Linked DNA regions of Rattus norvegicus. The protein of the gene in region 1 purifies or fractionates together with the protein of each later gene. This does not show direct contact. Links are inferred from orthologs where the notes say so. Each region holds a gene or a part of one and is shown on either strand. Other genes may lie near its edges.

What was found.
Region 2: the proteins of Fbxw11 (region 1) and Hnrnpu purify together in Homo sapiens (affinity purification with mass spectrometry; 5 studies listed by BioGRID and IntAct, counting the BioPlex papers as one, with this or other methods). This does not show direct contact. The link is inferred for Rattus norvegicus from reciprocal best matches to the Homo sapiens genes FBXW11 and HNRNPU.

The regions. Positions count from the first base shown.
Region 1 is NC_086028.1:17,735,398-17,741,240, reverse strand, and holds the start of Fbxw11 (F-box/WD repeat-containing protein 11), read right to left. Parts: upstream 4,045-5,843; 5' UTR 3,901-4,044; coding exon 3,856-3,900; intron 1-3,855.
Region 2 is NC_086031.1:92,615,022-92,620,914, reverse strand, and holds the start of Hnrnpu (heterogeneous nuclear ribonucleoprotein U), read left to right. Parts: upstream 1-2,334; 5' UTR 2,335-2,501; coding exon 2,502-3,114; intron 3,115-3,925; coding exon 3,926-4,037; intron 4,038-4,125; coding exon 4,126-4,199; intron 4,200-5,893. UniProt on the Homo sapiens protein: DNA- and RNA-binding protein involved in several cellular processes such as nuclear chromatin organization, telomere-length regulation, transcription, mRNA alternative splicing and stability, Xist-mediated transcriptional silencing and mitotic cell progression.

The sequences.
Region 1 (5,843 bases):
ATAGCTCTAAAAATAGCATTTAGATTGCACCTTCTTATATTTAGTCTTTATTACTTCATCCACTTAGGAGCTGAAAGCAAGAAGGAAGTGACTCACTTAAGGTCTCTTAGCAGAGGGGAATGTTACACAGCCAATAACTCAGTACAAGTGTAAATAGGCCAGTTTTGTTCACGTTCATGAGGCAGAATTATCATCCTTAAACTTCTTTAAAATACATTTACTTATTTGATGGAATGGGGTAGCTTTCCAGAGATTTCTTCTTCCTCTATGTGAGTCCTAGGGAATGAAACTTAGGTAGTTAGGCTTGGTGGCTAGCATCTTTGACTGTTGGCCTGTGTTCTTAAACTGTTGCAGCTTTTTGCTGTCCTCTCAGGGAGGAACTGGCCACCTGTCTGTCAATCTGCAGCTTCCTAAGGAATACCTGTACATCAACTCATGCTCCCACCTCAGTGCGATGCATAATGAATGAAGTTTGCATTCTTTCCACTGAAATCCGACCAACCAGACACACAGCCTGGTGAGCTCTGAATATTTCCAAAAAGGGTCACTGTTTAGCTCACTGTTCTAGCTCACTCATAATAAAGCTGATTGTTGCAGAAACGTTTAGAACACAGGTCCACAAAGTTGGCCCATGAAAGCCACAAGACAATTAAATTATTCACTATCAGCAACTATAAAGTCATTGTCTCTTTCAAGAGTTCATTCAAGAGGATGGTGGCACCATAATCCCAGCACCTGGGAGGTAGAGGAAAGGAGATTGAAGACCAGCTTCAGCTACAAAGTTCCAGGCCATCCTGGGCTACAAGAGTCCCTGCAAGAGGACAGGGAGCTGGAGAAAAAGAGAACATGTTAAGAAGAAGAAAAAGGAGGGAGAACGATAAGGAAAGGGAGGAGTAAAGAGAGGACAGAGCAGACAAAGGAGGAAAGTGGGGAGACAGAGAGCCCATATGAGGTTTCTGTTAAGAGTCCTAGACACAGACGCACCTTTGGTAGTCCAGGCCTCAAGTAGTCACCAAGGGGACACCTGGATTTTTAAACTTAACTATTCCGCTGTCACCCACCATCTTTCTCCTCCAACTATCCCCTAGGATTGCTAGGGACAGAAGCAAAGTGTATACTATAATAAACAGGTGTAGTGTACTGGTATTCCACAACCAACACGAAGTCATTCTCAAAGTAGTATTTTAAAATATAACACAGTAGGGTATGTTGACTATAATTGAAACTGATCATAGTGAGAAACAGGTACCAACGATTTGGAAAAACTGTAGCTGCACACCTTATAAATGACTCAAGCAACGAGCCATACGCATAGACAGTAAATCAGATCCAGCAATGCAGGCCTCGGCACTACAATCTTTAGGGGGTTTGAGACTGACTTTTGGTTGGTTGTGGTTTTTTTGTTTGTTTGGTCTTTGTTTTGGTTGGTTTGGGGGATTTCATTTATTTGTTTAGGTTTTGAGAGACAGGGTTTCTCTGTGTAGTTCTGGTTGTCCTGGAACTCACTTTGTAGACCAGGCTGACTAACTCACAGAGATTCACCTGTCTCTGCTTCCTGAGAACTGGGATTAAAAGCATGTGCCACCATGCCTGGCACATTTTTTTATTACATTTCTAAGAATCCTACATTAAATCCCTTTTATGTCTTCATTAGGTGACATCTCTTCAATGTAAGGGCAAACAATATCACACAGTCTAACCCAGCCATGAGGATTTTATGGACACTAAGGAAGCATGTGCTCTACCACTAAGGTGCACCCCAGCACCTTAACAGTTACTCAAAACAAAACAGTTATAAGCTTAGAAAACCAGTAAGTGTGGGCCAGAATATTTCTTTAGTCATATGCTAAAAGACCATGCCTGAGGTTAATTACACTGTATTTCTTCTAACTCTCCTGAAAAAGAAGACATTTTGGTTGTTTTAAGTGAATATGTTTCATATGAAGCACTGGTCATTATGAAAGCAGATATACTGTTTTGTCTTTAAGAAGATGGAACATGTATCTTCATACATGAAGATACTTTGACACTTTGCCAAAAAAGAGGTCATCAGGATGGCTCAACCAAAGACACGTGATCATACATGCAGAACGAAATGAGTTCAAGTCCCAGAACCCAGGTAAAAGCAGAAGAGAATCTTTACAACATGGTCCTCTGACCTCCACAGGCCCACTGTGGTGCACGTGTGAATTCACATTAATACATAAGGCACGTTTTAAAGACATTTTGTCAAAATAACGGACTACTAAAGTTTCCCAAACTGTTACAACCGACAATTGGATGCTGAAAAAGAAAAAAGGTCCTCAGAACCTGAAGATAAAGTGACAGAATCCCTGTGAACACACACACACACACACACACACACACACACACACACACACCCCAGAAACTTCCAGGTTTGATTTTTCAACCATCCAGTTCTGCACATTGTGCTGAGTCCAGCAGACATGAGACTCTGTAGTTATGCTACTATTACTTCCATTTTAAACGTGTACCTTAGCTCCCTGGACAACATCATCCACAAAAACCATGGGCTATCCAACAGACTTTCAGTATCACCATTTATTATTTATAGCACTAAATGGGGGAAGTGGCTCTGATGTCACCAACCCTACCCAGTGGAATCACTGACTCAATAAGCATTTCACACTGGAGAAACTCTGACGAGGAAAACACATTGCTAAGTTCAGTAGATCGTTCACCTTTCCTCAGTACTGTGCGGCAGATACTAGTTGTTACGATATTAGTAGAGATACAAAGAAACTGTCAAGGTTTTCACAGGAAGAAGCCTTTCTTATGTCCCCAACTCTCCTGGGCCCAGTTTGATTTCCCTCACGTTCAAACTGGCAGGTACTACCAGCCATACTTTATTTCTTCCACCAATAAGCAAATCCTTCACTTTCCCAGCCATTCACTCACAGCCCTGTTTCCAAAAACCTTTCTAGCACCAAGTCTGAGGTCAGAAATGGGTTAGGGGTGTCCGGGAAGACCTGACCAACCTGGCTACCAAGGGTTTCTAACAGTAAAGGGATCGCTGCTTCTCGGTGGGTCAAGAACACCCCCACACACACACCGTCCCGCTTTTTATTATTAAAAGAAAAGAGGGTGGCAGTGATGAAGGCGACCTCTTCTCCCTCCCCTCTCATTTCCCAAATGATAAAGTTATGGTTTTCCTTTTCTGGGGGATGGAATTCTGAGTACCTAGGGCCCTGCTATACAAACATCCTTCACGGCAGGGTAGGAAACCCTTTGTCCAAGAAGCCTGACACCGCAGGGGCTCGGAAAAGAGGCCCCTTATCCCCTACAGCCTCAGACTCGTGGGCATGCCCAACATCCCAGTCCTGAAGGGCCTATCCTGGCATCCACACAGCGGTAGCTTGGGGTGAGGGTGCTGAGACCCACCGCCACCCCACCCCCTAAGCCTAGGTTACGGAGGCCGAAGCGGCTCCAACTGGTCTCGGACAACCTCCCACCACCATCACCCTCGGCTTGAGCGGGGCTGGGAAGCGCGATGCAGGCCTGGCAGAGGAATCCAGGGAAGGGAAAAAGAAATCCCCTTCTAAAAAGACAGTGTGATGGCAAGGCGAGAGTGAGCGGTGGCTCCGGCAGGAGCGAGGCAGGGGCGCCCGAGACTGGTCGGAGCCCGGCAAGGAGCGGGGAGGGGGTGGGGGAGTTCGCGGGGAGCGGAGGCCGGGCCGGCCCAAGAGCGCGAGGCGTCAGCAGCGAGCCGTAGCAGGGGGCCGGCCGGGCCCAGGCGACGGGGAACGAGGGCTGGCCTGGCGCGGACGCCGAGGTGGGCAGGCCCCCGGGCCGCCGGCCGGCCGGAAGAACTGAAGGCCAGCGGGCCGCACTCACCATGAGCTCGATGGTCTTGTCTTCAATCACCGAGTCGGGCTCCATGGCGGCCCCGGCGGCCCCGCCTCGCTCTCTCCGCTCAGCAGCGAACGGCCCGGGCGGAGGAGGCGGTGGCAGCGGCGGCGGCGGAGGCAGCTCTGGCACCCACTCTAGCTGCCAGCCCGCCCGGGCCGCCGGCAGCTCCGCCCTCCCCCTCGGCGGACGCAGGACGCACGGCGAAGACTACAACTCCCAACAACCGCGGCGGATCGCTAAGCCTTATGGGAACAAGAAGCCGTCGGGCCACTCTGCCAGGGTTCCGCCACGGGAGAGAGCACCTAGGGGAGGGCAGGGCTGGGAGTGCGGGGACATGCAGATCTGGAGTATCTAGGACTTGCTCGGGATAGGGCCTCGCGAGCGCCGCGACTACTTGTCCCAGAAATCCTCGCGCGCGCGGTCTCCTTCCGGTTGGTCGTTCCAGACTTCCTGGCAGCGGGTGGCTGCCCGGACCCGGACGGAAACTCCGAGGCAACTCCTCACTTGTCTGAGATCTTTGCGGTGCGACCGATTTCCGCACATGCGCAGTAGTTGTCTGCAGTGCCCACTGGTCGTCTAGGTGCTTGCGCGGCCGCCCGGTGTATTACACTTGGTAGGGACAGATGGTGGAGACAGGTGGGTCCGAGGTTGCACCAGGAGGTGTGGGAGGGGTCTGTGAGCCCGAAGATCCAACCAAGGGAAGATGGACATCTCAAGAGGAAAAGTTTGGAGGCTTGAGTTGGGAAACAGATGTATGGAGAGCTGCTACACTGGAAGTAGCTGAGCCATGAGAAAGAAGCTGATCATTTTGAAGACATTTTTAAGCATTCCGTTGCTACTAGTACTGCCCTAAGCTCTGGAAATGACAGGCGAGACCTCTGTTCTCGTGAAGCTTAATTCTAATGGGAAGACAGCAGACATTCACCAAGAGTTAGAAATGCTGTGAAGAAACACATCTAGAGACTTCCAGTGAACTCTTCCTCTTAACTCTGTGTGCCCTCCAAGTTGTCAGTACCCTCAAACCAAAAACCCCCAGGAATACGCTGTAGTTAAACAAGGTGGGTTTATTTTAGCTGAACTAGAAGAGAACATGCACCACGATGAATCATGGACGTCTCAGTAAGAGACATTAGGTAATGTAGAAAAGGATTTGAAGGGGCTCTGGAGCGCATACTGCCAGGAAGTGGGGGTAATAAGGTTGGACACCTTATCTATGGGAAGTTATATTAGATTGAAACTAATCCAGTAATTGATGACAGCCTCTTGTAGCCGTGTGTCAGGGGCTTAGACAATGTTCATGTTTTATCTGTGTTCACGAGTAATTATGGAGTGGTCTTGTTTTTGTCTTGATCCATAAGATAAGGCCGTTCTGTGGCCTTGTCTAATGTTAATGGTCTGTGAAGTTGTTTATGTTTTACTGGAGATCTGGCTGTAGAAACCAAGCTCTGGCTATTATCGTGTATCTCGAGGGCCTGGCTCATTGTACCCAACCCACTTCACAGTAGCAGTGACTTGAGAAGCTTTCCTGCTTCTCAAGTGTGTTTCAATTCTTTGCCCCTGTAAAGTGGATGACTTAGAACTCTTCCCATTTCCAAAGAGCAAGCAAGGCATTACAGTAATCTGTATGCATCTAAACCACAGTATAAATTCCCTGCAGTTAGAGTCTGAAATGTTAGAATCTTTATCTAGTGGCTTTCACCAAGAGATTGAAAGAAAAACACCTGGGAAAAGCCCAGAATTAGAGTTACTGCCAATACCTTGCTGTCTGGATTTCCCCAAACTCTCCTCCCTTTCTGGGTTTGGGACAGTCAGTAGCGTAATGAGGTTAGGTTAAATGACCTCTGTTTCAGTTACCTATTGCAACATAATCCTCCATCCCAAGGTGTGGTGGCTTAGAATAACAATGGCTTATTATTTTATACAATTATGTAAATTAACCAAGCTCATCTGGACCAATGTGATGTAAGCTGAGG
Region 2 (5,893 bases), on another chromosome or scaffold:
GTCACCACCACCTCCATTAACTGGAGAATTACCAGACACTACTATTTCATTGATTCCAACTCATAATTTCATAAATATTGATATTTCTTGTTTACTCTCGATGCCATAGTTTTAAGATAAAATGTTTTTTTTTTGGTTCTTTTTTTCCGGAGCTGGGGATCGAACCCAGGGCCTTGCACTTCCTAGGCAAGCGCTCTACCACTGAGCTAAATCCCCAACCCCGATAAAATGTTTTAAAAAAAGTTTTTGATGCATGTCTTGATGCATGTACATCTGCATGCCAGAAGAGAGCATCAGATTTCTTTATAGATGGTTGTGAGCCACCATGTGGTTGCTGAGAATTGAACTCAGGACCTCTGGAAGAATAGCTAGTATTATTAACTGCTGAGCCATCTCACCAGCCCTCAGATAAAATGCTTTCTAAAAATGGTTGCAGCAGGGAGCAGTGGTGCATGCTTTTAATTCCAGTATACAGGAGGCATAGACAGGAGGCCCTCAGCCAGCCTTGGCTAGAGACCCTTAAAAAAAAGCAAATAGGGGCTGGGGATTTAGCTCAGTGGTAGAGCGCTTACCTAGGAAGCACAAGGCCCTGGGTTCGGTCCCCAGCTCCGAAAAAAAGAACCAAAAAAAAAAAAAAAAAGCAAATAACAAATCATTTTATTAATTGGTTAAATTATATTGGACAGGTAATAGGTTTCATTTCTGTACATCTACGTTTCAGGTGAACAGGCAGAATACAGGGACCACAGGTTTACTGTCAGAGTACCTACTGGTATAGCTTAACATTTTGGTGTCCGTGGTTTTTGTAGAGACAGCCTATCAGGTATCTCACATTGGCTTTGAACTCCTTCTGTAGCCAAGGATGACACTGCATTTTATTTACTGATTTATTGATTTTGTTTTGTTTTTTGTTTTGTTTTCTTCAAGACAGGGTTTTTTTGTGTGTGTGTGTGTAGCTCTGGCTGTCCTGGAACTAGTGGCCTTGGACTCAAGAGGTCTGCCTGTGCCTCCTGAGTGTTGGAGCCAAACTTGTGTGCCACCACCAGTGGCCTGTCTGATACTGAATTCTTGATCATCTTGCCTGTATCTCTCAAGTGTTGGAATTATACACATGTACCACCAAACCTAGCTTGGGTTCAGTCTGCACAGGAAGCCCCCGTGTAGAAATAAAATTCTATATGCTTCAAGAACACAACATATTTAATAAGAGAAAAACAGATAGTTTAGTTTTATTCCTATTTTTTGAGATAGGATCTGGTATGTAGCCCAAGGTAGCCTAGAATTTACTAAGTAGCCCTGGCTTTTAACTCTTGATATGTCTGCCTCATTCTGCCAAGTGATAGGACTACAGGTAATTTTTTTTTTTTTTTAACTAAAACCCAGCCTTTTGTTATTACCAGTTTGTAGGCAACTTAGCAGGTATACAAACATGTTTATAGTGTCTGAAAAAACAGGGAGAAGATCAAAGTGAATAATCTAGCTGGGTGTTGTCCTACTCATCTGTAATTACAGGATCTCAAAACTGGTGGACTAGATCTGCAGGGACAGACTGTCCTGCAAGAGGCCTGTCTTTACAGTAAGTACATAGAGGGGAAACTTCCATGCAAATCTAAGGCTTTCTTAAGGGTCAGTAGTGCACAAGGCCGGCTTTATGCGCTGTGGCGGGCGCACGGAGCAGCACAACAAGCCTCTTTCCCAGACTTTGCACCGCTGGTTGGGGAAGAGACAAAAGAAAGGCTCTGGCCTCGCCCTTGCGGAACGTAAAATAAGTCCGACTGGCAAGGCACGACTAGTAAAATTTAAACCGCAATTAAGTGGAGGAAAAACTAAACAACAAAAAACCTCTGCATAACAATCGCCTACATGTGTTCTACAGAGAAGCAGTGGAAACTTGAAGGTTTTAAACCTAGAGCCGGAGGGACAGACCCAAAAAACAAAACAAAACAAAAAAAAAACCCCAAAACCTAAACGAAGATGGAAGAAAGGAGGCTGTTCTCGAGTGGGAAATGCAAGGTGAGGACTGAAGGCGGATGGAGGAGAGCGTCCTCCAGGATACAGAAGACAGAGCGCCGATGGAGCGCGGCGACCCAAGAGCCGGAAAGGCCGGCGGCCACTGCGGCGGGTCCGTTAAACCGAAAGGCCGCTTCCAGAGCCTCCATTTGCTCGGCCCGGCCCAGCGCGGAGGTCGCGCCGTGGGGGCGGGGCGGGGCCTGCGCGCGCAGTCGCCCTAGCGGGCCTCGCCTCGGCAGGGGGCGGGGCGCCTATATTACGTGCGCGGCGCCGCCCCTGCGAGAGGACGTTGCGTGCTCGCTCGCGCCAGGCGAGTCTCCGCGTCTTGCCTCGCGAACTCGGTGAAAGGAATTGGCGCCGTTCGACACCAGGCGGGTCCGTTCTGCAGCAGCACTCAGCTATCTCCAGCAGCAGCCGCCGCCCGGGCCGACCAGCAGCCGCCGCCACAGGCCGAGGGAGCCAGCAGTCAGCGGTGAACCCGGGCCCTCACCATGAGTTCTTCGCCTGTTAATGTCAAGAAGCTGAAGGTGTCGGAGCTGAAGGAGGAGCTCAAGAAGCGGCGCCTCTCAGACAAGGGCCTCAAGGCCGATCTCATGGATCGACTCCAGGCCGCGCTGGACAACGAGGCAGGAGGCCGCCCCGCCATGGAGCCCGGGAACGGCAGCCTCGACCTGGGTGGCGATGCGGCCGGGCGCTCGGGAGCAGGCCTAGAGCAGGAGGCCGCGGCCGGCGCCGAAGACGATGAGGAGGAGGAGGGCATTGCCGCTCTGGACGGCGACCAGATGGAGCTGGGCGAGGAGAACGGGGCGGCGGGGGCGGCTGACGCGGGCGCGATGGAGGAGGAGGAGGCGGCGTCGGAAGACGAGAACGGCGACGACCAGGGCTTCCAGGAGGGGGAGGACGAGCTCGGCGACGAAGAGGAGGGCGCGGGCGACGAGAACGGCCACGGGGAGCAGCAGTCCCAACCGCCGGCGGCGGCGCAGCAGGCTTCTCAGCAGCGCGGGCCTGGCAAGGAGGCCGCGGGGAAAAGCAGCGGCCCCACCTCGCTCTTCGCGGTGACGGTGGCGCCGCCAGGGGCGAGGCAGGGCCAACAGCAGGCGGGAGGTAAGAAGGCGGAAGGTGGCGGGTGAGTGTTGCGTTGTGGGTGCGCGCGGCTGTGGGGACCGTGCCCCAGGCCTGCTGGGGCCCCTAGGGGCGAGCGCCGCGGGAGGTGGGGGCGGGGAGCCCCGGGGCCGCGGAGAGGTTCTCGCCATGCCGGCGGCGCCTCCATTATGTATGTCGGGCGCCGGGGGGAGCTGCAGCTGCTGCGGTGGGGGGGGGAGGAGGAGCCGAGGCGGGCAGGAGCGCCGGCCGCTGGGGCGCTGTGTGCGCGCGGTTCGGGCACATGTGGGGGGGGAGGGGAAAAGCCCGAAGGTCCCGGAGCGGGCGGGCTTTGGCGGCTCTGCGCAGCGGTATTGTGCAAGGAGCACAGGGGCTCGGTGTGACGTCACTTCCGGCGGGAGGCGCGGGGAGCGGGGCGGAAGCTCAGTACAATGCGGCGGCGGGGCACGCGGGCTCGGGTGGGGGAGGGGAGGTGGGCCCACGCTACCCCTCCCTCTCGCTTGAGCGCCGCGCACGTGGGCCCGGGCGGTGTCGCGCTTTTTTTTTTTTTAATTTTTTTGAACTATTTTAAAAATGCTTTCTGGAAGGTTGCGGTAGGCTGGCAAAATCCATAACGTCTTTAGACTGCGTCACTGTCTCCAGTCCAATTCCAGACTTTTTTTTCCTTTAAATTCTCATTTGTGGTTTAAAAAGTCACAGAACCAGTCTGAAAAGAAAATCAGTAACAGCTCTTGAGGCTTGAAACAGGAAAAGGTGCTTTCCCCCATTTAGTTTTCAGCCTGGTACTTTAAGGCCGTGTTCTGTGTCGTTATAGGAGACGGCAAAACAGAACAGAAAGCTGGAGATAAAAAGAGAGGTGTTAAAAGACCCCGGGAAGATCATGGCCGAGGATATTTTGAGTACATTGAAGAAAACAAGTACAGCAGGTAGAGAATCCTAACCTAGTTTTCACTTGTCACCCATTCTTTATATGTGGTGGGAAAAGTTTTATCAGGAGACAATTCTGTCTTTCAGAGCCAAGTCTCCTCAGCCACCTGTTGAAGAAGAAGACGAACACTTCGATGACACAGTGGTTTGTCTTGATACTTGTAAGTGAGGCGGACTTTCCCGCTCTTTACTCGTTTTCAAGTGCAGTGTTATTTTTTTGGTTTTAAGTGTTAGGAAAGATGTGTGTTGATCTTAAAGTGCAGAAAACCAGAACTTTGTTTTAAAGCAGGAAGGTAGTGGCTTATGCTAAGGCCATAACCGTTTAATATTAATACCACTTCATTTGTATTGATTTATCAAGCTCTAGTGATTGGTAATAATAGTTTTATGAATTGGAACTTCTCAGTACTTAGGGATGTAAAACTAAATAATTTTCGTTTAGCTACCAGGAACTTGTATTTTAAAAATCTGCCTGTAACTTGTCCTTAGATTATATAGTTTAATCTTTTCTCTTGTGGAACTATATTAAGTGAGCTAAATGGGGGTAGCTGAATACTTACTAATGATCTTCCCATTAGCACACAAGTGTATTCCCTATTCTAAGGATTGTAATATTACCTTTCAATAACTGCTCTTTTGTTCTCAATTCCAGTTCAGTAGCTGCTGCTTTAACATAAGTTGATTTCTTCCAAAGACCTGGGGCAGCAGCAGTGGGCTATCTGAGCCACTAGCTTTCTTCAGCAGCGAATGGTATCAATGGCAGCGCTGTAAATATGCTACTTTACCCAGCTGGGTTGCAATTGAATATGAGGAAGTATTGCAAACCATGAAATGGGCTTTAGCTGTCAGATTTGTATTTTTATCCTTTAAAAAAATTCGACTAGTTTAGTATTTAATAACATCTTTTGTGAGCAGAACAAAAAATACAAATAAGTGTGTAGTTACAGGGCCTCACTTGATGGAAGTTAAGGGTTAAAAGCTTGGGTTCTCATGTTTCCCTGTACAAATCGTGTTCAGAGCCCTGAGAGTTAATTATGTAAAACTTGGCTGGTTTCTAACCACATACCTTTTATAGTCAATTACATCTTGAAAAGAAGTTTTGTTCTTTACTGAAATATAAAATACTTTGGAATTCACAAGTAGCTATAGGTATGGTTCAAGAGGTTAGTTAACATTGTGACTTAAAGGAGTTTTGGATCCCGTCAGCTAATATTTATCTTAAGTAAATTCTAATTGTATCAGCAGTCAGCAGGAGTTTTAAAGCACAAAGCTTAAGGAAAGCATCTAGATGAGGAGAGATCTGTGGATCCCTGAAATCAACCGCTGTCTAAGTGAACATTAGTGAGAACTGTGAAAAGCTGCCAGTTAATGAGCTCTAGTCACCCAAAGATAGCTAGGTTAAAGACTGGATTTGTATAATCCAGGCAATAGTTAATTCCTAGTCGTTGTGACACCTTTCCAGGTTAGGTAAAAGAAACTCAAAGGGCTACACGTTAACACTTAGACTGCCAGGTTTATGGGTTCAAGCTGACATAGTGACAGGTTTTCAGAATTAAGGCTCTGGAACCCTGACGTTGGTTTACAAAGCATGGAATCAGCAGCTCTCAAATATGTGGTGGCTTCCCTTCAGTTTTTAATTGTCACTGGTAATTGTACCTGGCTCTGGCATGCTTCCCTTTCATTTCCTGCTGTCCTCTACTGCTTGCCTCTAAAACAAGGTAAAGAGCAGAGCAGGTATGTATTAATGTTGCGTTGTCTAAATCAGCTAAAACGTACTTAAAGCACTTCAATTTTGACTTTAATTGGCGGTTGACCTTTTAGTTACATGGTCAAGGAAGGCTGACTTGGGGGGGAG